6 linked regions of the Neurospora crassa OR74A genome follow. The protein of the gene in region 3 interacts with the protein of the main gene of each other region in a pairwise test. Links are inferred from orthologs where the notes say so. Each region holds a gene or a part of one and is shown on either strand. Other genes may lie near its edges.

Region 1 (3,881 bases), about 1.2 Mb from region 3:
GACGAAGGCGCTATGAGAACATTGGCACAGGAAGAAAGGGATGATGGGTGGGGTCAATGTTTGGTTCCAAGCAAGCATTGCCCGATCAAGTAATAGCTACGAGGACTATTAGATGCGATTGGAAACTGAACCATGGCACGAAGGTGTATGTACCTTGAACCCGGGATGTCTTAACAGAGAATATTCCGCATCCGACCTCTCGGGTACGCATATGCTACGCTGAGGTAATGATTTGGCAGCGACATCAATACCTACACTACAATGTATCCTTTAGTTCTCTACAGAGGCCGCGGTGTTCTGACTGTACCGATGTGGCTGAAAGTCCTGAATAGAGGGCGACATAACCAAAGCCAGTTGTCCCTCTTTGACCGTTTGCGCATCTCTATTCGATCATGGCTTTTTTTTTTTTTTGCCCCTCCCCTCCAGTTTTTTTGGGTGGCTGAGGACAATAACCAAAAATTTGTCTCGGCAATGCCATAGCAGCGGTCAAAATAGTGAGGCAGAAATACTGGGCGGTCAGGTGTACGGGATGTCTCAGATCAATTCACGGCCTAACCTTATAAGATGTGAAAATGGTAGCTTTTGATATCATGCTCTAGGAAAATGCCATGCAACGTCCGCGCTTAAAGACCTTGCAGAAATACAAACGCGCTATCATGGAAAGGGGACTGAATGAGGTTGTCCCATGCTTCACAAGTGCTCCTGTGTATTGTCCTGCTTGAACAACGTACAGGAGCTTTATTACTATACAGAAAACCAGAGGGAGTCGCTCACTTTGGCCTTATGCTCATGCCGATTAATGTATCCAGGTTTCCCAGTTCCGGTGCTATTTTATCTTTGTGCCTGACTGGAGAACAGCTTTTTAAGCGGCTTCGTCGCCTCCGTTGCTGCTTGAGCCATCGTTTGTAGTACCGTTCGTGACTCCGACAGTCGAAGCCGACGCGGTTTTGTTGGCCATGGCCAACTGCCAAGCAGGGATAGTCGGCTTGCCTGCAGAGGCAATTCCGCTGCTGAAAGGCGAAGGCTTGGGGGCAGCAGGTTGAGCGAACTGCTGTTCCTGCTGGTATCTGGATTGCTCATCCTGCGCACTCGCGGCTCTGCTGTTTAAGTCTCCGTTCTCACCGCCGAGGGCTGGCGTGGCAGGGGCTGAAGAAGGAGTGGCGTTTCCGTTAGTATTGGGGCGAAGGTAGTTGTTGACGCTCGTCGAGGTGGCGGTTGGGTTCATGCGTTGCGAGATGAGGGTCTTGAGGCTCTTGAGTTCGGTATTGAGTTCGCGCAGCCTGTTGTCGGTCAAGTCCTTCTGGTTGTTGAGTGCCCTTGGAATCGAGTCCCTGAGATTTTGCACATCGTCCCGTACTCTCTGTGCTTCGTCGTCTCTGCGTCTGTTGGCTGCCTTGAGGTCCCTGACGACAGTCTCCAGCTCCTCGAGGGCATTGTCGAGTCTCTCTGTCCTTTCCTGCTCCGAGGCCTTGAGGATTTCGGTATCCTTGGCCAGCTGCTCAACCAGTTGGAATGTTTTGTCGAATTGTTCGTCGATGGACTTCTTGTCCTGCTCGAGACGCTCCGGCGTGGGAGGAGCAATCAAAGGATACACATAGCGCTGCCGAACGGTTAGAATTTCCTTTTATGTACATTGCACGGTGTTCGGCGGCCTACCTTGCCGAGATTGTATAGGCCGTACGACGCGCCTCCGACTACGGTCGCCAAAATGAACAGGTCCCTCCAGTCCCGCCTGACACCGTCGGTATTCGATTGCGGCCATGCGTATGGGGGATAGCCATAGTACTGCGGAGAGCCACCCTGTGCTGCGACGGGTCCGGCCGACTGCGCATAGGCGGGCGACTGGGCGTACGGTGGCGGTGGACCTCCTGATTCGGCGCGGGCGAGAGCAGCGCTGACTTCTTCCTGGGTGAGGTTCTTTGCTTGGAGAAAGGCTATCCGCTTCTCGATTGGCGAGGCGGCGACACTGGGGTCTTGAAGAACTGTGGTGTTGTTGTCGGGTGAGATTCTGGCCTGGCAATGTAGAGGAGGTAGCAGGGGACAAGACAGGGGCAGAACATACACTGCGCCGCCGAAGCGACCAGGTCCTCGCGGATGGCCATGACTGATGTTGTTTGATCGAAATGCGGCAGATGGCGTTCCCTTGTTGAGACTGGGCAGACGAGAGGAAAGAAGCAGACAGCTGAAACAGTCGCGACGCGATGGCAGACGGCGGCGGTTGATGGAATGATTATCGAAGGACGGGAGGCTGAATGCGATAGATGAAGTGGAAACGAACTGACTGGCAGCGGTTCGGGGGATGGCTGGGCCGCTGGATGGAGTCCTGAAGCCGAGGTTCACGGGACCGGGGGCCTGATTGTACACTAGACGTGGACTGCTAATAGCACCTTAACAGCTTCGCATCACTTGCACCCCCAGCACACTCGTGGAGGCATGCTGATCAGATAAATCACTATCTCCTCCCCTGACTCTCCTTTTCCTCCGACAGGCCTAGAGCGCAGCTGAGCATCCATTCCATGCAGTGACTGGCTCAGAGACGGGAGTGCAGAGCTGAAAAAGCACTGACCTGAAGCGAGCCAACACTCACCCTCAAGGTCGCTTTTGGACCCACTCCCGTCATTCACCTGCCGTCCCGATGCTTGGGGACGAGAACTGGAGTGCACTTGGCACTGTTCAGCCCAATGATTTCCACAGCCCCACCCACGTCGCCTTTCTTTTGTTTACTCTTCCTGACGGAGCAACCTCCCCCACCATCCGCAGAAGTCGACAACCTAGTCCCGTCTACACTACGGTGTCTTAATCTACCTACATACCTATGCTGGCCTGCATTAGGTTGCTGGCCGTACACGTACTTTTATCGCTACGACACGACGAAATCCGCGACTGCGGTTATGCATTGATTTCTGTCAGAGCCGCGAACACGTACCCACATTAACTCGAGCGCATACCTTAGCTCTACAAAGCTATCCGACATAATCACCACCAAGAGAATCATCGCCGACATCGATCCGACACAGTTGCACGTAGTGTAACACTCTTTTGTTCGCTTGCTTATATATTATCACGGAAACCACGCGACTAGGACGGCAAAAGGGAGGCGCACATTGACGAGGCCTTTGCCGTCATGTCGCAAGACAGCAACGCAGGCCTTTGGAGTGTTCGACGGCCAAGGGAGGTGCGACTTCCCCCCGTGACTTTCTTTGCGGCGTGTTTCCTCGGTCGAAACCTCTCCCCATCCGACGCGACCATGCACGATATTGACTCTGCTCTCTCTGTAGACTCTCCATGGCGTCAACCTCACGTCGGGCATTCCGGCACCACCCTCCACACTTAAGCGACAAAGCACCATCGGCACAATAGGAACGGGCCATGGTCGCTCTCTGTCGGGGAGGCAATCTCTGGCCCTCCCGCGACCGAGCCAACCTCTGTTCCAGCGATCCTCCGACATTGGCCTGGGCTCGGTAAAGCGCGCGTCGGTTCATAACATGAACACGTCGCAGTTCAAGCCCTATGGCACCCCAGGCAGTTCCGGTATTCCTCGATCATCGCAAGAACTCGACCGGCGAAGCAGCGTCTACCGCCCAAGCGCACGACCGTCGGCCGTCGGCGGAGGTCCCTTAGCTGGTGGGCATATGAGCTTCTTCCAGCAAGCGCCCCAGCCCGCCGGCGTGCCTCGCGATCCGCGCCCCCTCAAAGACCGTCAATTCCAAAATCGCATTGGCCAGGAGTTGCTCGAGTACCTCGCCAAGAACAATTTCGAGATGGAGATGAACCACAAGCTGTCCGACAACTTCACAAAGTCGCCGACACAGAAGGACTTCAACTACTTGTTTCAATGGCTTTACCACAGGATAGACCCGAGTTACCGGTTTCAGAAGAAT
Region 2 (3,982 bases), on a different chromosome or scaffold from region 3:
TATGCATTTCCATTTCCATTACCCCTTTGTTTTCTCTCTTTTTCTCTCCATAGACAGCTACCTAGTCAAGACAGCGTTCTTCAGGCAGAGAAAGGCAGAATATTCACTGGTGGTCGTATGTATATGGTTATACAATGAGAAGCATCGCAATAATACCTACCTACCTACCTACCGAACTCTATCACATCGCCATCCACTTGCTACAGGGTTTGAAGTAAAATCAACTACACTAGATAGCGCTTCTCATCACGGCAAATAATTGACTAGCTAGTAATCTGAAAGAAATTATCGTCAAGCAAGACGTAGACAGACATACAGGAAGATGGGAAATTCCATTTTCATTGCGAATTTGGTCAACATGGCAGGCAAAGTGGTAGGTGCTACCATATGAGTTAAGGTTTGGCACTTAGAGTCCAACAACAAAGCGGGTTTAGCTCAGTTGGGAGAGCGTCAGACTGAAGTCCACTTCACTCATAAATCTGAAGGTCGTGTGTTCGATCCACACAAACCGCATCTTTCTTTTGCCTTTTTGGATTCGCGAAGTACGTACAGGTAGATTAATCGAGTTACTGAAACGGTGTTGATAGACATTCTGATCCCCCCCCCCCTTTTTTTTTTTTTTTTTCTTGCATGAGCTTCGTGTTGTTCGTACGTGAACCATCCGGTTTGGCAGTACAGAAAAAAAAAGAAGATGGCTGTTGACATTTCATCGACCACGAGGTGATAGAGGAATCTGATTGTCTGACCAGTAAGCATGTCCAGTTTTACATGTTCGTTTGCGGTATGTTGGTTATGCAACTTGCCAGATTATATGCCACCATTAAATAATGTCTAATGTTCGCTTTTCACAACTCATGCCAATCCATCATCCTCAATATCTTCTTTCCGGCTAAACCATGATCCGCCTCAGCCCTTCCGTCCCTCCCAGCACTTTCCTTCCTGTGACGGCACATCTCCCCTCTCCGCTCTCCCACTTGCCCTCGCGCTCTTTCGTCATGAACTTCTCCTGCCTGACATGGGTCCCGCTCATCCACTTGTGTATGCACGAAAAGCAATAGACCACACCCGTCTGACACGCCGCCGGCGTCTGGATCTCGTCCTCGCAAATAGGGCACATATCAGATCTCTTGGGTGGTGGCACCGTGAAAATCGGCAACAGCGTCGAAGCCGCTATAGGCGCCGTCTCGGGCGTTGGTTCCTTGCTGCTAGCCTCCTCCTCTGCCTCATCATCCTCATCCGCCTTCTCCTCCACACCATCCTCCGACGTCCTCGTGATCTTGGGTTTAGGCTTATTCCTCGCTTGCGCCTCCACCAGCCCCGTCACCGTCGGCGGCGGCAGATCCAGGCTTTCCGCCGCCTTGCGACTCAGCTGCTTGGCGAAATCCGAAGCGTACCACCACTCAAGGAACTTGAGCGCAAAAATACTCGTCGGCAGCACCAGCGACAGACCGCCCATCAGCCTTCGACTCATATTCCTCGGACTGAACATCGACCCCCCTGTTAATCTGGAGGTAGCGGCGGCGGCCCCCGCTGCCTTCTCTAGAGCCTCAATCGCCTGATAATCCGCCCCGTTCATCCGCCGCACGCGCGTCCCGATCAGCCACAAAAACGGGTTATGGTACTTTGTGTTGTCAAACAGATACCCCAGGTTAAACGCCAAGATGGCAAAGTAATACGCCGCGTTCAAGCTCGGGTACACTTTACGTAGAAACCAGCGGTAGTAATACAAGAACCGCTCCTTCATCGGGGCCCCCTTTGCCGGCGGCCGCGTGTACTGGCCGCCCAACATGGCGCGCGGCGCATCGATCTCGTAGGCCTCGTCCAGCTTGCGTTTCAGGTAGGGGATCCCGACCATGACGGCCAGGTTCTTCCAGATGTCGACATCGGAGAGCTTGAGGGCGTCGCGGACGAGGTTGGGCGCCGAAGAGGCCGCGCGCGGGATCTCGGCGGCCAGCGCCTTTTCGCGCTTGAGGCCGTAAAAGTGCTCGGTGAAGCTGCCGCCGCGGGTTTTGAGGTAGTGGCGCTCGACGAGCAGCCCCGCGAGGGCGTACAGCTCGTCAAAGGAGTTGAGGATGCGCAGCAGGTGGCGCGGGTAGCGGTGGGTGAGCACGGTGAGGAGGTAGCGGAGGGTGGGCGGGAGGAGGGAGGCGAGTTGTTGTTCCGAGAGAAGCTCGAAGAGGGAGGGCTTGCCGTCGTCGAAGGTGCCGCGGAGGGCGGTGACGAATTCCATGGTTGTTGCGACGGTGCCCGGTTGGGTATTGTTACGGTCTGGTGGTTATCGGGGGCGGGATGGGATGGGATGGGATAGGCTCCCGCCGGTTGTATCGAGAGGGGGTGAGTTCGAGGTTCCTCTTTCGGTATGTTCCAGTGTCGCGCGTAGTGATAGGGGGTCGGTGTGACGTTTTACTAGTATTATATCGCCGTCGTGGTTTCCATCGATGGATTTGTTGATGTCAAGTCAAGTTCACGATATAATTGGGATGAATTGAAAGAAACGGGGCGAGATGGACCTGGACCTCGACCTCCTGGAAGTTCGAACAAGGGGGGGGGGACTCAGACCGGGGCCAAGGAGTGGATGCCGCGACGCATCAAAAGTGGCACTTGGTAGCACTGTGAGTGGACAGCTGAAAGTCGGGCAGCGCAGTGGAGGCCTGTGGGTGCTCCCGTCGCTGTCTAGTGTAGTTGCTTGCTTGCTTTTGCTTGCCGCCGCCGCCATTTGGACCTTGCCAGGTAGCCGAGGCTGTCAGGTCATTCATGTACCCCAAGAAATGGGTTGCAACGGATGCCCGCCAGTTTACCCCATTTGCCCATTCATCCCCAATCATCCCCCCCTGTGCCTGTGATGTGTAGTGTAGACTACTGCTACTATGCTAGGTAGTCACGGCAGGCATGGATACCCCCCTCTCCTCTTTTGCTTTGGTTCGATTCCGTCGAGTTGTCGGGCATCCGTTGTCGGTGTTGTTTCCATCCCGCTCTTTTACACATACCTACTACTACTACCTACTACTTGTACCGCCGGTAACACTACATTGATAAATTACCTACTACTTCCCTGTTTTGACTTATTGCCGGTTCCTGTGTGTGTGTGGTACATCGATACTAACCAACACCGACCAAGGCAACTACCTACCTCCCTCCCGTCTACCTACATACACACTACGAGACTACACTACCTCTACTAACGGCAATCTACAACCGCCCTTCCCTGCCGCGCATCCCATTACGGACGGCACAGTGAAACACCGGACCTGCAAGCCACAATCTTATCATTCTTATTTCCCTTCCCTTCCCGTCTTATCGTCTCGTCTCGTCGCTCACGGAGATAAAAGATGACCATCCGTACTTATCATCGCCCAGTAAAGACATCTGAAGTCGTTGTTGTTTCGTTAGCATCCCAAGAGGAGCAAGAAAATACTATGGCCGGTGGTCAAGAAGGAAGAAAGGGGTCGGCATCACCGCCACCACCACCACCACCACCACCACCAGCAACACCACCAAAGAGCGGTGGTGGTGGTCAACATCAACATCCACATCATCATCTGCACCATCTACACCATCTACACCAACAATATCAGCAATTTCAGCAACCGGCACCACCACCACTACTACCGTATCCACAAAGTCAACATTCACAAAGTCGTCACCCGCAGCAGCAGCAGCAGCAGCCACCAAGAAGTGCAGCACCACCAGCACCAGCACCAGCACCCGCACCCGCACCAGCACCCGCACCAGTACCAGTACAACCACCAAGCACTACCGTCGACCCAAGTCTACTGCCATACACGGGCGAGCAACGAATACTCGAACTACACCGACGAGAACTCGAAAAGGCTTCTAGCGGTGATATCAGCGATCATGTGCGTCACTCTTCACTCTTCACTTACTACAGTACCTTCTTCACTTTTCCCTAATTTCTTCCATAAGAGTTCTCCTTCCTTTTACCACATAACAAACTAACATGACAAGCAGGACTACACAACCC
Region 3 (3,327 bases):
CCGCCTCATACTTTGAGACAATGCTTCATGCTCCGAGGGGAGCAGGACATCAACATGCCAGGTAACAAACGCCATCCGATTATGGTAGGGCACACTGCAGACTGCGCAGGCACAAGAACGGATGAACAACCATCCCATCCGGGTGCATGCGGGGAATTTGGAGCGGCCCACGGCCCCCAGACCGGGATAAGGCGGGTGGGGGAGCGCCTCGATCCGCTCCTCCGGGGTTCGGAACCCCAAGTCCTCGGGCCGGAGACATGAAACCGAATCATGGCATGGGTGATGATCCACACATTGGTCACGCATCATTCATTCCCAGTCAGACTCACATGTCAGGGTCATAGAGTCGTGCCCTCGCTCGTCTGGAAACTCACCAGTCTAAACCATCAATCACAACCTTTGCGGAGTAAGCACCAGGAAGCAAAGGCCCGTAGCGCGAGGCATTCGACAGGAAAAGAACGGCTTCATCAACGAGACCGAAATTGACCAATGGTCAAAGGCATCAACAATAAAATAAATCTGTTCGTGAAAGCTGCCACATTAACCACAAACATAGTACCGATGAAACGAGTCAAACAAATTACGCGTGCTGTTGTCCCAGTAAATCACCCAAAAGATATATCCATCTTCATCATTGAACATTGAACCTCCCATCATCTCATCGTAGATCAACAAGACCCCATTTTCCTCCTCCTCATGCGTAGCAGTGTCTCTTCTTCATCATCATGTCGAATCTGCCCTCTAAGCAGTCTTCTTCCACTGGGTGTAAATGCCGAGTAGAGAGCTGAGAGTACCAGCAAGACCGACGATGCCATCATCGAAGTTGACCCAGGCAAGGGCCGACAAGGGAACAGTCAAGTCGCAAAGGTCCGAAGTGAGCTGGATGCGGCTGGCGGCGCGCTCGCTATAACATTCGCAAAAGTATCGTTAATATCATGTCTCTCAGGCGCATTATCGCAAGTAACAAAAACATAGGGGAGCCAGGGGGGGGGGGGAGCACTTACACCTCAATCCTCTTGGCCTCCACCACACCCTCGCCCTCCTTGCGATCAACCCGTGCCTCCCTCTGCCTCAACCTCCACAGCGTGTACGCCTGTGCAATCACACTGCAGCTCAATCCCATAACCCAGAACCTCTGGCTTTCCCTCGCCAGCCTCTTGGCGCTCTCCGTCTTGCGAATCCCCGTCGCATCCAGCAAGGTACCCAGATCAAACGTCAAATAACCCGCATAACCGAGCTGGCGGCCGACCGCCAGGTACCGCAGAATGGGATCGCCGTTCTTGCTGTCGGCCGCCACCGCCGCGGCCTTGATGTGCTCGACGTTCTTGCCCGCGCGCATGACCTTGCGCACCAGGCCAAACTGCTTCTTCATCGTCTCCCATGGCTGGATCGCCGAGGCGGGCTTGTTGGTGCGAAGCAGGTACCAGGCGTAGAAGCGGGCAAAGTACTGCAAGAGACGCAGGAGCTTGTCGCGGCCGACCGTGGTGGCGACGAATTTGAGGTAGTGCGAGACCGCGGGGTGGTAGACGAGGGCGTCGGCGACCATTTTTTTCTCTCTCTAAGTTATAGTTTGGGGATGTGAATTGGACGGTTTACGCGGGTGTTTGGAATTGGTGGTTTGTTTGTTTGTTTATTTGTTTGTCGTGGAGGTTGGGTTGAAGTTGAATGTTCCGGATCGGAAGAGGGTCGGATGTCGCGGCGGGTTGTTGTTATTCAGGTACAAGTCAGGTTATAGTCTAGATAGCTGAAGTTAGATGAGCTGAGCTGGCGGTCAGACTTTCCCCAAGTTACGCTTTCAGAGGGGGGTTTTGGGTTAGGTTGACCTTTGGGGTTTGTATCACGGTAATTGATCACGAATTCAGTTGGCAAACAGGTTCACGAACAGCGCAAGTCGCACTTTGACTTTGAAATTCAAACAGAATAGCTGATCACTCACTAGTCTTTCTGGTCACTTCTTCTTGGATGCCAGCTTTGGACTGTTTCGGCTGCGACTTTGCCCAAGCGAGCACATGCCGAGGTTTCTCTAGCTTCCTCTCCGCCTTTGACTCGGGGGAGGACCCATCGGCTCTCCAAACGGCTTGGCAATTGCGTGCCAGCCGTGGAGTCATGCAAGGGTTGGCCTGTTCAAGAAGTGCCGCCATCCATTGGAGTTAAATCGGGAACGCTCCATCGCGTGCCCAAGGGCGGGGTTTTAGCGTGAGGACTGACCTTCGGGTTAGGGTTGTTCTTGATGGTTGTCATGTTATACCGTCAACGTCGTCTTGCAATTCTCGTTACGTAGAGCCGTAATCTGGAAGGTTAATGAGTTTAGGTCAGTTTTAAAAGGTGATCTGAAGCCAAGAAAAAGTCATTCACGAATGTCATATGAATTCATGGCTTTACTGAGTTTGATGCGTTGGCCCTAGCAGGCGACTGCTTGGGATTCGTATCGAAACACCAGTCCCCACTTCTCAAAATCACCTGCACAGTACTTGTACATACAAGGAAAGTGAGAGGAAAAAGAAATCGAGGATGAAAATAGGAAACCAAGAGAATACATTTGCCCCAAACACCGACAAAATCCAAGCATGCACAGCAAGCCGAAACTCAATTATAACCGGCTCTATAGTTTCGACGGCGCGGCAAAAAGCTTGACCTTCTCCTTGATTGTCTCCTCGGCCTCTTTCTCGATGCGCGCAATGAGATCCTTGCAGGTCGGGATGTCATTGATGAGACCCATAACCTGACCCGCAGTCCAGACACCATACTCGGGGTCACCGTTGATAAAGACCTCCTTGCCGCGCTTTCCACTGACATAAGGGGCAATCTCGGAGAACTCGCCCGTCTTGCTCTCCTTCTCCACCTTGAGGGCGTCCCGCACTACCTTGTTCTTGAAGAGACGGGTGGTGTTGCGCCAGCGCCTGAGGACAAGCGCCGTGTCTGTCTCCTGCGCCTTGACAATCGCCTCCTTGATGTTGTGGTGAATGGGGGCTTCGACGGTGCAGAGGAAGCGAGTGCCCATGTTGACACCGCAGGCGCCGAGCATGAGCGCAGCAGCGAGGCCTTGGCCGTCGGCGAAGCCACCCGAGGCGATGAAGGGTACATTGAGTGTCTGGCGGGCCTTGCTGAGGAGGATGAAGTTGGTAATGTCCGACTCACCGACGTGGCTGTGATTTGTGGCATAAGCAAGACTGGCCAACAGGGGAGCTATGAGGTATATGGCTTGACCTACCCGGCGCATTCGAAACCGTCGATGCTCAAGAAATCGACACCGAGCTTCACTGCAGACTGAGCATGTCTAATGGTGGTGCACTTGTGGAGGATAGTGACGCCAGCCTTCTTGAGCTT
Region 4 (3,577 bases), on a different chromosome or scaffold from region 3:
TTTATCATCTCTCCAACGCTCCGATAAAGATCTGGAAGCCTCTTCCCAACGGCGACCATAACTCGAGTGTCCTCGAAGAAGGCTACTTTGAAGCCATCGCAGAATTCATCCAAAGGGTTTCCTCAGGAGACCCCGAAAAGAAATAGCTCGATTCGACAACGAAATCCGCGCCGTCGCTCTCTCCTCATTCCATACGGTAAATGGGTCTTTCTGTTGAAGGGGAGGCATATGATGTGCCCACGATCTTGATGACGCGAAAGCGTCCACGATTACGAGCTGTTGGGGGACAGCGAAGCACAAGTACGACAACCACGACCTTGGTGGCTTGATGCTTGAAGATGGGTCGGAACTTGAGGCTTTCATTGAGGTGTCATATTTTCTCTTTCGCACCTCGTGTATGTATTTCATGACCCTTTGGACCTATGTCGAGGTTGCTCGGGTCTTGATTAAGACCCAAACGGGACGAGACTCGATATTAATCAAGCAAGAGAAGTTTTTGTAGAGTAAATACCAAATATTAATATCGGACAAGGAATAATTCAATTTCATACTTGAACATATGTGCATTAGCTTGTCAAAAGTTCCTGACCTTTTGAGAATATGTCGGATCATTCAATCATTAGGCTATGTACGAAAACAGGCTCTCTCTCCTGGCAATATGCTTGCTGCATATACAATTATCCCTAAACCGCAGTTGTTGACTGTTCGCTCCTTGTCATGTGCAAATACTACCCAAAATCTGTTCTCGAGAGGACGTTGTAAGACTCCTGCTTTTTGTCATATCTCCCGTATATTAAGTATTTTGTCCCCCCCGACCGCCAGAAAAGGACTGCTCTAAGCAACCCTCAATGGCAGAATATGCTGTACCATCGTCTCACGTCTGCACAACGGACACTCAGGCTTCTCGCGCACCCAGTCTCCAATACACGACCAGCAGAAGACATGTCCGCACTGGGTCGCCGCCGGGTCCTTCAGCTCTTCCAAGCAAAGCGTGCACATCCTCTGCTGTCTCCCCTTGATCCAGCCCATGACCTCCTCATTCGCCGCCAAGTCGTAGTTCGCCCTCCCGCCCTTGGGCACAGGGGTGTGCGTCGTCCGTCCAATCTCCGCCAAACTACGCTGGTTACCCGACTTGCCCGTCTCCACCAGCAACTCGTTATTGCTGCTATAGGCATTCTCATCTAACGACACATCCAGTGTGCCCGCAGCGCCCGGCCCAAAGGCGCGCTCCCGAATGCTCGCCTCGGTACTGGCCTCCTCGGCACTAAGCGGCGAAGTTGACGACAGCTGCGCCGTCACATGCAGGTATCCCCGGACGAGCATCTGCACCACCAGCAGCACGCCGAGCACTTCATAGCCCGCGCGACCGCCTTGACCCTCCTCGATGCGCCGCGTGAACACATAACGCAGCCCGAAGAGGCGCTTGGAGAAAGAGTAGTAAGCACCCGAAAAGTAGAATACGGCCAGCGTCAAGGCGTGCAGGTGCGCGCCGCTGGTGATGGAAGTCAGGTGTGTGAGCAGGTAGCGCTTCACGCGGTACTCAAGCGTTGACACTGTGGAGAAACCACCGCCCTTGTTGTTGGAGGTAGATGGGGTGGCGCCCTTGGTGTCGCCGCGGCCCTGGCGGGCAAGCACGGTGAGACGGTCCTGGAGGCGCTTGCGGAGCGCGGCGCGGATGGAGGGCAGCAGGCGGCTGAAAAGGTAGGGGACAAGAACGCTACTAACGATGTAGCCGGCTCGTCGCTGGAGCGAGGGCAGACGGGGGCCACCGGCTTCGCTGCTGGGCTCGACGGGGCTTTGGGTGTCTGGTATCCTGCCGTTGCCGCCCGTACTCGGCTCTTCGACTTGGACTAGGTCGCAGTACTCCTCGCCTAAGGTGCGGTTGCCGAGGAGGGTGGTGAGGCATAGGTAGAGCAGGTCGGCAGCCGTACGGGTTTCGGTGGCCCAGGAGTGGGCGGAGCGGGCACCGCGAACGCGCCGGTGAAGGTCGGTCAGCTGGTTAGTGAGGACGCCCTGGAAATAGGCATCTTTTTGATGCGCGCGGATAATGTCGGGGGCTGCAGCGAATGGATATGGCGAGCTCGTGAGCGGCGGAGGAGGCTTCTTGGTGGCCGTCAATGACATGGTAATTGATGTCGTCGTTTGGGTCGGGTCGGGTGGGCTCGAAGTCGGGGGGGTCAAAAGCTGTGTTTACACGGTCGACGTATTCAGGGGGAACTCTCGAACCCTAGGAGAGCTCGTATGCCTACAGTCGAATCGTCGAAGCTGTGGCAGTGGATGATTAAGTCTTTTCGATCTGAAATTATCCGAGTTGTTGTTTGATGTTTCGAGATCGACAGGCGGCAGTTGAAGCTGAGATGAAAGTGGTAGTCGGGAACGGATGGACCTCGGTCCTTGGGGTTAATGGGGGCAGCACGCCCGGCGCCGCCCCAGGCGTGGTTCCTCCTCACAAGGAGCGAGCTGAGGAATTGGCAGGGGGGTGCCCAGAACGTCGTAGCCCAGGCTTTAGCGGCAGGGATGATGCAGCGGGTTGTCACAGGACGGGGCCGCGACCAGGGGTTGCACTGACGTCGGGTCTTCTCCCTAAGCCAAAAAGAGTGCACGCGACAGGGGCTTGGCAACTCCGGTGTCTTTGCGACAGCTACCACAATACAGATGAAATTAAAATTTCCATCTTGACACTTGACAAACTCCAAACGCGTTACTGCTGGGAATTTGATCCCAAGCCTATCAACTCTTCTTTGCGTCCAACTGTTACTTCTCCCTCTCCGCATTCCATGACGGACAGCAAATTGACCGCTGCCTGGCGCAATGGACGGTGATCCCGTGGTTGAGCCGGAGCTCGACTCCTTCAGCTTGACCTTTCCCCTTCCCTACCGGGTTGCCTTCATCGTGATCATAGGTATGTATATACAAGTTTCCTACCGTATGTTTGCTCTCTGGATACACGGTTGTAAACTGACTATCTCTGGTTGATTAGCTGTTTGGGGCTGGGGCCTCAACCTTCACTTCCTCCATAATCGCAAGATCGACGTCCCCTCCTTAATCCGGTACCCAGGAAGATCGAGCCCAACCCAGCTCCCTCACCACCACTCGACATACCGTCTTGCGACTCTTCTTTCGCTAAGCTCCGCTGTTTCGATTCTCACATTTTGGTCGTTTACCAGGCGCGATCCAAAACGCGTTATCGACTATGACTGGATTCCCATGACCAACTTGGCAGTGACCGCAGCCCTCTTCGTGCTACCCCTGCGAAGACTGTCTGTTTCGCACTCCGGTCGACGTCGACTACTCGCAACTCTGCGCCGCGTCAGTGTGGGAGGTTTGGCTGAGGCCAAGGATGGAAAGTTTGGGGATATCTTGCTGGCTGATGTTCTCACCAGCTACGCCAAGGTCCTTGGGGACCTGTTCATATGTCTCTGCATGTTCTTCACGCGGAATGGGTCTGCTACTGACCGACCCGATCGCAGCTGCGGCGGCACCTATCTCGTACCACTTCTCCTGACGATACCAAGCGCTATTCGGCTGCGCCAGTGTCTTATCGAATATCTGCGCGTGCGAAATTCCCCTTTCAAGG
Region 5 (4,009 bases), on a different chromosome or scaffold from region 3:
TAGGCTAATTAGCCACGCTTCGTTCCATCCCTGTGCCATCGGTGTGGTCACCGCCTCACATCGCCTATCACTTCCCTTCATCCCCCCTTTCGATTTCACACCTCGTGCGTCCATGTCTTTCAGCGTTCGCCGCTTCCGCTTACTCCATGCATCCATTCATCCATTTACCATGGCCGTCCTCTGTGTCTATATCTCCCTTTTGGCTCGCTCGGGTATTGACTTATGGTGAAAAGACGTTTACCCACGCAATAATCGTGTCATGCAGGTGTATAAAGATGTGAGAGTGTTTGTCATTCTCTTAATAATGATAATGCCGTAACTGACCGTTGTGGGCATGCATGCTTGTTTGGTGACGTCTTACACCCTTCCGACGAGTTCGAAAACTTCCGGAAATGCTCCGACTGATTATCTCACCGCGCTCTCGTGTGCCTCTACGTAGCTGCTTGGTGATTTTTTCCTGGTAGGAAAGTGTGGTCATTTCCACCAGGCTGGGCGAATCCGAATCAAGGAGAATCCGATTTTGATTTGATTTGCTATTGTGTCTGATTGTTGTGTTGGAGAGGAAAGCCGATTAGATGGCCATTGGGTGTTGGGCCACTCCCAGGAGGCCGGCGCTTTGCACATGGTAGATCCAGAGCTCGCACGATCAGGCGTGTATTAAGAGAATGAGACCGAGTGTCGAAGCCGAGAAGAGCGTGGCATGAACCGCGACGTCTCGATGTGCATTTTGCTGAGATCATTCCGCCTGCGTTCCTTGCCTCCCTAAGAAAAGAACTGCGACTTCTGGAAACTCTCGACGCTAATATCGCTAGCCTTGGCCGCCGGTAGGGCCGGAACCAGCACTTTCTTATCCGCGTCGCTGAGGATGCTGCTCAGCGAGTTGGCCCTCGTGTCGCCGTCAATGCTGATGGATGGGGCCCCAGCAATAGCTGCAACAGGCTGACCTGGCTTCTTAAGTACCTCGAGGAAGGTGGCCGGTAGATAGCCAATTCTTCCGTCGCGGGCGCGACACTTCCACCACTCGCTAGGCTGGCCGAGAGGATCGCTCTTGCTGAGAACGGCAACCAGATCACCCTTGTGAACTTCAAGGTCTACGCCCGGGACGATCTCGCCATTCCCCTGCGTGGCGGGCGAGAAGTCGTACAGGACGCGGCAGAACTCAAGCTTGGTCGGGTCGATGGTTTGTTGTTGCGCGACAACGAGCTGGCGCTTCTTTTCCTCTTCCTCAGCGTTGGAGGCCAGCGACTTGATCACCCTGCTCATCACGTAGGGCAGACCGAAGGCAGCGAGAACGAAGAAGATGAGGGGCTTTCGGCTGGGCTTGGGCATGGCACCGGCGGCACCACCGGCAGCCGCTGCAGCACCGCCCTTCCCGCGTCCATCAAACATGGCAAAAGAGGCTGGATTGAGGCTGGAGACATCGGCTGGTAGAGGCTTGCCGGTGATCTTGGCGAACACTGTCCTAATCCAGCGCATAATAGTGAAGATGCCCAGAATGGAGCCTAGGGTTTGGCGAAGATTGCCAAACTGCTCTGCGACAGCAACCATGGCTGAGCTGATGTTAGTATATCAGTTGCGCCTGACTGGAGGTGGGCATGTAGGATGATATAACCTACCAAAGAAACTCGAGTGTGTCGCCATATAAGTGCTCTCAAGCATTTGTGCAAAACCTCCGAATGCGCCGACAATGCCTTCCAGCATCTGGAATGTGGCCATCGTACTCATGTTGAAGCGGTTGGTCAAACTTTCCGGGTTGTTGGGATCGCCCGGCATGCCACCCATACCTCCTCCATACATGCCGCCGCCGCCGTACATGCCACCGCCGTACATCGACCCGCCGTAACCGCCGTACATTGAACTGCCGTATCCGCCCATACCCCCATACCTGGAATAGGGGCTGGAATAGGGCGACGAGTATGCTGAGCCGTATGAAGAGCCGTATGTTGTGCCGTACGAGCCTACGCCGACCCCGTATGGTGATGTACCCATCGCGCCCATTGGTCTGCTGTAGTTGGCGGCATTTTGGTTGACGGAGGCGGTCAGACTGGCAGGTCTCGCGGGGATGGCCGGGGTTGAGCCTGATGTTGTTGTTGTCGTGTTTGACTCTGGTGATGGCGTCGCGGCCGAAGAGGCTGCTGGTGCGGGCGCTGTGTCATTGCGGATTCAATGTCAGTGCCCTGCTTGTCGGGCGCACATGGAATGGTGAACGGGAAAAAAAACATACCCGATGCGCCAGACGTCGCGCCTTGTCTTTCCCACGGTTTCGGGGGGGATGCCATGGCGATTGTGTGTGGATTATCTGATCCTCCGCCGTTGATGGCCGGTGGTAGTGCTCGAGGAATGACTTCGATGGACCGGTAAAGGGAGAAGACGAAAACAAGGGGGGTTTACTGGTGGCCGCCTAGTTAGGGATGGTCCAGTCGTCAGTCTTAAGCGATGGGACAGAATGCGTGCGATGCGACAAGCGTCAGGACCGCTGCACTTTGCTGCTGGGAGCTGGCTGAGCGCCTGGGCTGGCAAAGAGTTGCCGCAGTGGCGAGGGCGCTGGGCTTAGCTGAGGATCCCGGTTTGGCGGCTTCCTCGCGTAAATTCGTTCAGGGAAGGGGAGCGCGAGAGAGTGTGTGCGAGTAGATCAGGGCCAATAAGTAGAGTCAGCGGGCGTGGCATCAGAGGATAATTTATCGTAGTCTTATTCTCGACTTCTTTTTGGGCCCTTCGGGTATAAAAATGTCGACTTTTCCTAGACCACTATGGGGAGGGGATCGAGCATTGACAGGAGGGGACGATGTCGTAGCAGCGGAAAGGTGGAGAACGTCAGTCCGGGAGCGACCACTCCTGTTGCTTTTATCGCTTTCGGACGGCTTGTGAACCTCGGCAACATTTTAGCGGGTAACACTGCCTGCATGGACACTTTATGTATGGTAGGTAGGTACCGACCCAGCATGGTCAGCTGCATGCTGGGCATCGTGCTCGTCTTTTACGACTCTGCAGTCTGCACTCCACGAACATCAGCATGATGTAAGCTGTGATAAAGGAAAACGTGGATGTACGCAGTATAATTGTTCCTTAACATGGTGGATTGAGAAATGCTTGCACGTCAACGTATTAAGCTCGCCAACTTCCAAGTTCAGGGGGTGCGGTATATCGATGATTCTGGCAGGTTGCAACCAAGGTCGGTTGTTTTGTAATTGCTCGATGCTGTTCTCTTTCAAGACCTAATCAACAAGCCAACCTCAAATTCAGATCAGTGCGTATGAATGTCCGAATAATAGTTCGGATTGCCAATATGGACACTACTAGCCGTAGGACAGAAAGGAGAAACGACCAGTCTTACATGCACGCTAACAATGAATACCCATCAATTACGCCAACGCCTTTGCAATGCCTCTGTGGAATAGTAAGCATCTTTCCCCGATCCCATTGGGTTTCCTGAATGCCTCCTTACTAAAGGATGGCCGAGAAGCTCATCGCACGAAAAGCCAAGTCTGCCCAACCTATCCTATCCATCACATCGGTCATACCTCAACCCAAAGTCCTGACTAGGGACCTAACACATCTAGCGGGCCTGCGACCCCTTCAGTGCCGATTCCCGTCGTGCTAAAGGCCCGCCCTTTTGTCCAACTAGCCACTCTTTCCAGTCCGTGCTTGTGTATGGAACAAATCTAATGACGAGGAGAATAACGACGAGGTGAAAAGACATCCTCTGCCGTGACAGAAAGCGGAACCTAGCTGTTCATGACATCTCCATGCCCTCGTCTTCATCAAGCTCGCTTTCAAGCACTTGCGTATGGTTGCTACTAATGCTCCCTTTACGCCGTGACGAGCCAGACCCTCCGTCGTGGTAACGACCATCGATCCCCACCATCAAATCAAGCTCGTCACCGCCAACCACACGGCCTTCCATATCAACTTCCTGCGAGAGCTCCACCAGAGCCGCCCGAGGAAGCCTCTGGAAACCGAGCGTGCGTACAACCCTGCCCCAGTGCGTCATACAGAAGGTGGCAGCCCG
Region 6 (3,510 bases), on a different chromosome or scaffold from region 3:
TGGGTTATGGGAAGGAATGTGGGAAGCGAAAAGTGCACAGCTGGAGGGCGCGGTTCAAATACACGTCTGATGTGTGATGTGCCAGACGCAACCTTGTGTGATGATCAAGGTTGTCTGCTCGTTGTCGAGAGAAGAGCTCTTTGCTAACTCCAAAAGCTCTGAGCGACCGGGGCAAGGAATCTTATAACAAACCTTATCTGGTCAAGTTTCCAAAGACATAGGGTACAGCGACGACTTCTGACGATATATACTAGACTATGGGCGAGGAAACATAGGGGACTTTTGAAGTTCATCTTTCCTAAACTAATAGCATAATGAAAAGTAAGGGGTTGCGGTTAGGTTCCTTGCTGGCATCAAGTACAGGTTGGTATATCGCTCTGTTCTGTTCTTTTGTGACTAACAACCGTAGCCATTTTCTAATACAGTAAGCATAGACCATCTCCGATGATTTGGAGCGATGTCTCTTTCTTTTGTATATACATAGTAAGGAACCATGACCAGTCACTGCACAAGTGTCCAGTTGTTGTGCATCTCTACAAGTTCATACATGGCAGCAACGTGGCTGTGGCGAGTACCAATACCACTTGCCCCTGATATCTAAGCGTATATCTCAGGAATGATCTATACCAAGCCCACAGGCGTTGGCTGGCATGTTGGAAGATTCGCTACAACAGCAACATAAGGTCTGGAAACATGAAATATCATCTGTTGCCTGGAGGGAGCAGAGCCACATGACATACTCATAAGCGCTCTTCGTATGTAAGAGGCTTCCACAGCCCGCTTGAGCTACTAGCCAAAATAAATCCAATGGTCTATTTCCCATCCCACGGCTATCCAATCCAGCCCCCCCCCCCCCCCCCTATACCCTTTCTTTACATTCTCCCCTCCATCCATCCCGTACATTCTACACCTCTATCCCTGCCCTCTGCCCAACTCTTTCAAGACCCCTCATACCTCTCTTCCTCAACCCACAACTCCACCAGCCCTCTCGCCGCCACATGATCCCCTTGCCTTATAAGCGCCGCGACATCCACATTAAGCGGACTGTCAATGCCTGGACAGCTCAACAACAGCCTGATGGCTCTCACGCACTCCAAAACGCTGTAAGCGGGCGTCCATGCTTCTTTGAGCAAGTCCAGACAGATCTCCCCCGTGGTAAGGGCTACGTTGGCGTGCACGATGGGGGTGATGAATTTGATGGTTGGTGGGTGGAGGGGGTAGGTCGGTGGGAGGGTTATGTGGAGGAGCCAGCGGCCTTCTGGAGATTTGTGTGTGTTATCGTTAACAATGGAGGCTCTTTTGGGAGAAGGGGCGAGGTAAACATGAAAAGGGAAAGGGGGATGGATAAGAGGGAGGGAGGGGAAAAAAAACCAAAGATAAGAGACATACCATCATAACCACCACCTACCCCCTTCCCGTTAATCACGGCCTCCCAAATCAACAACTCATCGTCGTTGATGGGACCTAACCGCTCGACGCCCTTCTCTTCTTTGGACTCGATGTTGCTCCAGGTCGTGAGCTCTTTGATTAGGCGCTTGGCTGCGCTGCGGTTAGACATTGTTTATATATATGTGTACGTCTGTGTATGCGTGTATCCTTGTCTGTGGTGTATGTAACGTATACTCCGGTTTGTTTGTTCTGTAGCGCTTTGTATGATAGTTGAGTGTCCTCTCAATTTGGTAGGGATAATTATTCTTCCTTGTTCAGCGTTTCCAACGGAGCTGCCCGATGGTGCCTTGATGTGATTCCGACTCGTTTATCCAAGAGCAAGACAGACACGAACGAACGAGATTAGTCAAGCTTCGTCAATGCTATCCGTAAGGTCGAGTCTTCAGTTGCGCCAGCGCCAGTGCTAGTGGTCGGTCGTTCGGTACTCGGTAGTACGCTATGAAAGTATAAATGATCCACAGAGGTAAACCCGCGTTTGAAACTGAGAGCAGGTCGACGAGAAACGAGGGAGCCCTTTGGGGAATAGACTTGCGTATCCTCGTTTGGAAATCGTGTCCGTGAAGTGGATGGTTCTCGCACCGCAGTTGCCGACTGTGGTGTCGTCGCTAAATCGGTATAGCTCTGTCCGTGTGTAAAGCGACTCTTGGTGCACGGTCCTCGATGATCGATCTGTAACGGGTGGGCGAACCGTGATCAATACCACTCAGTGTAGCTGGATCTCGTAAAAGAGCGTATCGTCGGTCGTGTAGGGCTCAGGTATTGTTTGTTGATGTCAAGGTGTCCAAAGTGCTGTGCCCACAGAGGTGCTGCTGCTGCTGCTGCTGCCACCGCAGTGCGGTTGATCGGGGTACCCCTGACGGGCCAGCTGCGCATCGGCGTTTCCGGCGGCTGCATCTACCGCTACGTGGCTCCGTAGATGCGGATCCCTAGTGGTTGAAACCCGTTTGGCGGCGTCACTACGGCGCGCTGAAACTCAAGAACCCTTTGTGTCGCTGAAGCCGAGGCTGAAGTGCCGTTATTCGTTTTCTGGGACGGCAATCCATATTACCCCAATGGAATGGACAAGACCACACAGACAGAAAGGCACCGACATAAACAATAGCAACGTTTTAAGCGCATGGTATCATGGTTTGAATTGCCTAATAATCGTGTTGCGTTTGAAGCTCACCTGATCAAAACCTTCCACCCTAAGTCGATCGTAGACATTTGCAATGATATGTCCATAGAATCACAAAAAGATTTGTCATCGTCCACCTTTGAATCATATGTCCCTTAACCACATCATTCCTCGAGAAATCAACATCTCGTCCCCTAGACAAATTTCTGGTGTGACCGAGATTGCTATTGCTGCTCCCCTTCGTCTCGTGTTATCTTGTCCTTCGTGCTATCGTCAAAAAGAAAAACGCCCTATCCGTCAAGTCGAAAAGCCCTCCAATAAATCTCATCTAGATCCCCAAAATTCCGTACTTAGCGCCACATTAAAACAGAAGAGCCTTGACACCCATGCTCCTAGCTAGTTTCGTCTGAAAAATATCGTTAAGCCTCGCAATTTTCCTTTGATTTCCAGAACTGTACAAACCGGCCGAGCCGCTTGGTCTTGCTGGGTTTGACCTTCTTCTCTGATCCGTCATCAGTCGCCGTAACCTCCATCGAGAGCTTGCTGCGCTCACCATGCGAGCTGCTAACAAGACGGCTAAGGCTAGCAAGACTCGATCGCCTTCGACCAAAGGCAGAGGCACTGAACGAGGCAGGCCTAGGCAGCGTGTTGGAGGATAGCTGCCTAGCCTGAGGGTTTTGCGCAAAGAAGCTCTCACGAGTCATTGACGAGTCGCCGCTGGTCAATGATGGGACATCATCCACCGAGATCCGTACCTCTGGTCCGGGTTCGCCCATAAGCAGTGACTGGAAATTGTCCTCAGTGATGGATGAAGGTGCCGTCGAAATGCGATGGGCGTCGTAGGATAAGGGAGACCTGGGAGACGGGAAGGCTGATGACGGGGTCATCGAGTGAGGACTGACTGGTGCGCATGACACAGCAGCAGGCAAGGTCAACGGACTGCA

What was found.
Region 1: the proteins of pex11 (region 3) and pex14 interact in a protein complementation assay, tested with the Saccharomyces cerevisiae proteins (2 studies listed by BioGRID). The link is inferred for Neurospora crassa OR74A from reciprocal best matches to the Saccharomyces cerevisiae genes PEX11 and PEX14.
Region 2: the proteins of pex11 (region 3) and pex12 interact in a protein complementation assay, tested with the Saccharomyces cerevisiae proteins (2 studies listed by BioGRID). The link is inferred for Neurospora crassa OR74A from reciprocal best matches to the Saccharomyces cerevisiae genes PEX11 and PEX12.
Region 4: the proteins of pex11 (region 3) and pex10 interact in a protein complementation assay, tested with the Saccharomyces cerevisiae proteins (2 studies listed by BioGRID). The link is inferred for Neurospora crassa OR74A from reciprocal best matches to the Saccharomyces cerevisiae genes PEX11 and PEX10.
Region 5: the proteins of pex11 (region 3) and pex13 interact in a protein complementation assay, tested with the Saccharomyces cerevisiae proteins (2 studies listed by BioGRID). The link is inferred for Neurospora crassa OR74A from reciprocal best matches to the Saccharomyces cerevisiae genes PEX11 and PEX13.
Region 6: the proteins of pex11 (region 3) and pex4 interact in a protein complementation assay, tested with the Saccharomyces cerevisiae proteins (2 studies listed by BioGRID). The link is inferred for Neurospora crassa OR74A from reciprocal best matches to the Saccharomyces cerevisiae genes PEX11 and PEX4.

Annotation. Positions count from the first base shown.
Region 1 is NC_026506.1:2,098,105-2,101,985, reverse strand, and holds pex14 (peroxisomal membrane anchor protein), read right to left. Parts: upstream 2,517-3,881; 5' UTR 2,103-2,516; coding exon 2,063-2,102; intron 1,983-2,062; coding exon 1,657-1,982; intron 1,601-1,656; coding exon 863-1,600; 3' UTR 501-862; downstream 1-500. Other genes in the region: NCU03899 (HEC/Ndc80p family protein), read left to right, coding at 3,125-3,175, 3,279-3,881. UniProt on the Saccharomyces cerevisiae protein: Component of the PEX13-PEX14 docking complex, a translocon channel that specifically mediates the import of peroxisomal cargo proteins bound to PEX5 or PEX21 receptors.
Region 2 is NC_026504.1:5,625,390-5,629,371, forward strand, and holds pex12 (peroxisome assembly protein 12), read right to left. Parts: upstream 2,556-3,982; 5' UTR 2,231-2,555; coding exon 890-2,230; 3' UTR 501-889; downstream 1-500. Other genes in the region: NCU05244 (thioesterase), read left to right, coding at 3,330-3,857, 3,970-3,982. UniProt on the Saccharomyces cerevisiae protein: Component of a retrotranslocation channel required for peroxisome organization by mediating export of the PEX5 receptor from peroxisomes to the cytosol, thereby promoting PEX5 recycling.
Region 3 is NC_026506.1:876,850-880,176, forward strand, and holds pex11 (peroxisomal biogenesis factor), read right to left. Parts: upstream 1,996-3,327; 5' UTR 1,824-1,995; exon of another isoform or gene 1,737-1,823; 5' UTR 1,547-1,736; coding exon 1,005-1,546; intron 905-1,004; coding exon 742-904; 3' UTR 501-741; downstream 1-500. Other genes in the region: npd-2 (2-nitropropane dioxygenase family oxidoreductase), read right to left, coding at 2,603-3,146, 3,212-3,327. UniProt on the Saccharomyces cerevisiae protein: Involved in peroxisomal proliferation. Promotes peroxisome division and biogenesis.
Region 4 is NC_026501.1:5,159,126-5,162,702, forward strand, and holds pex10 (RING-1), read right to left. Parts: upstream 2,398-3,577; 5' UTR 2,125-2,397; coding exon 835-2,124; 3' UTR 501-834; downstream 1-500. Other genes in the region: bem46 family protein, read left to right, coding at 1-146; NCU03278 (protein-ER retention protein), read left to right, coding at 2,812-2,902, 2,981-3,577. UniProt on the Saccharomyces cerevisiae protein: E3 ubiquitin-protein ligase component of a retrotranslocation channel required for peroxisome organization by mediating export of the PEX5 receptor from peroxisomes to the cytosol, thereby promoting PEX5 recycling.
Region 5 is NC_026501.1:2,931,239-2,935,247, reverse strand, and holds the start of pex13 (peroxisomal membrane protein), read right to left. Parts: upstream 2,801-4,009; 5' UTR 2,280-2,800; coding exon 2,225-2,279; intron 2,148-2,224; coding exon 1,617-2,147; intron 1,551-1,616; coding exon 763-1,550; 3' UTR 1-762. Other genes in the region: NCU02617 (kelch repeat-containing protein), read right to left, coding at 3,734-4,009. UniProt on the Saccharomyces cerevisiae protein: Component of the PEX13-PEX14 docking complex, a translocon channel that specifically mediates the import of peroxisomal cargo proteins bound to PEX5 or PEX21 receptors.
Region 6 is NC_026501.1:3,007,527-3,011,036, forward strand, and holds pex4 (ubiquitin conjugating enzyme), read right to left. Parts: upstream 2,278-3,510; 5' UTR 1,559-2,277; coding exon 1,390-1,558; intron 1,259-1,389; coding exon 939-1,258; 3' UTR 501-938; downstream 1-500. Other genes in the region: NCU02637 (hypothetical protein), read right to left, coding at 2,986-3,510. UniProt on the Saccharomyces cerevisiae protein: Catalyzes the covalent attachment of ubiquitin to other proteins. Essential for peroxisome biogenesis. Required for UBC4-independent ubiquitination of PEX5.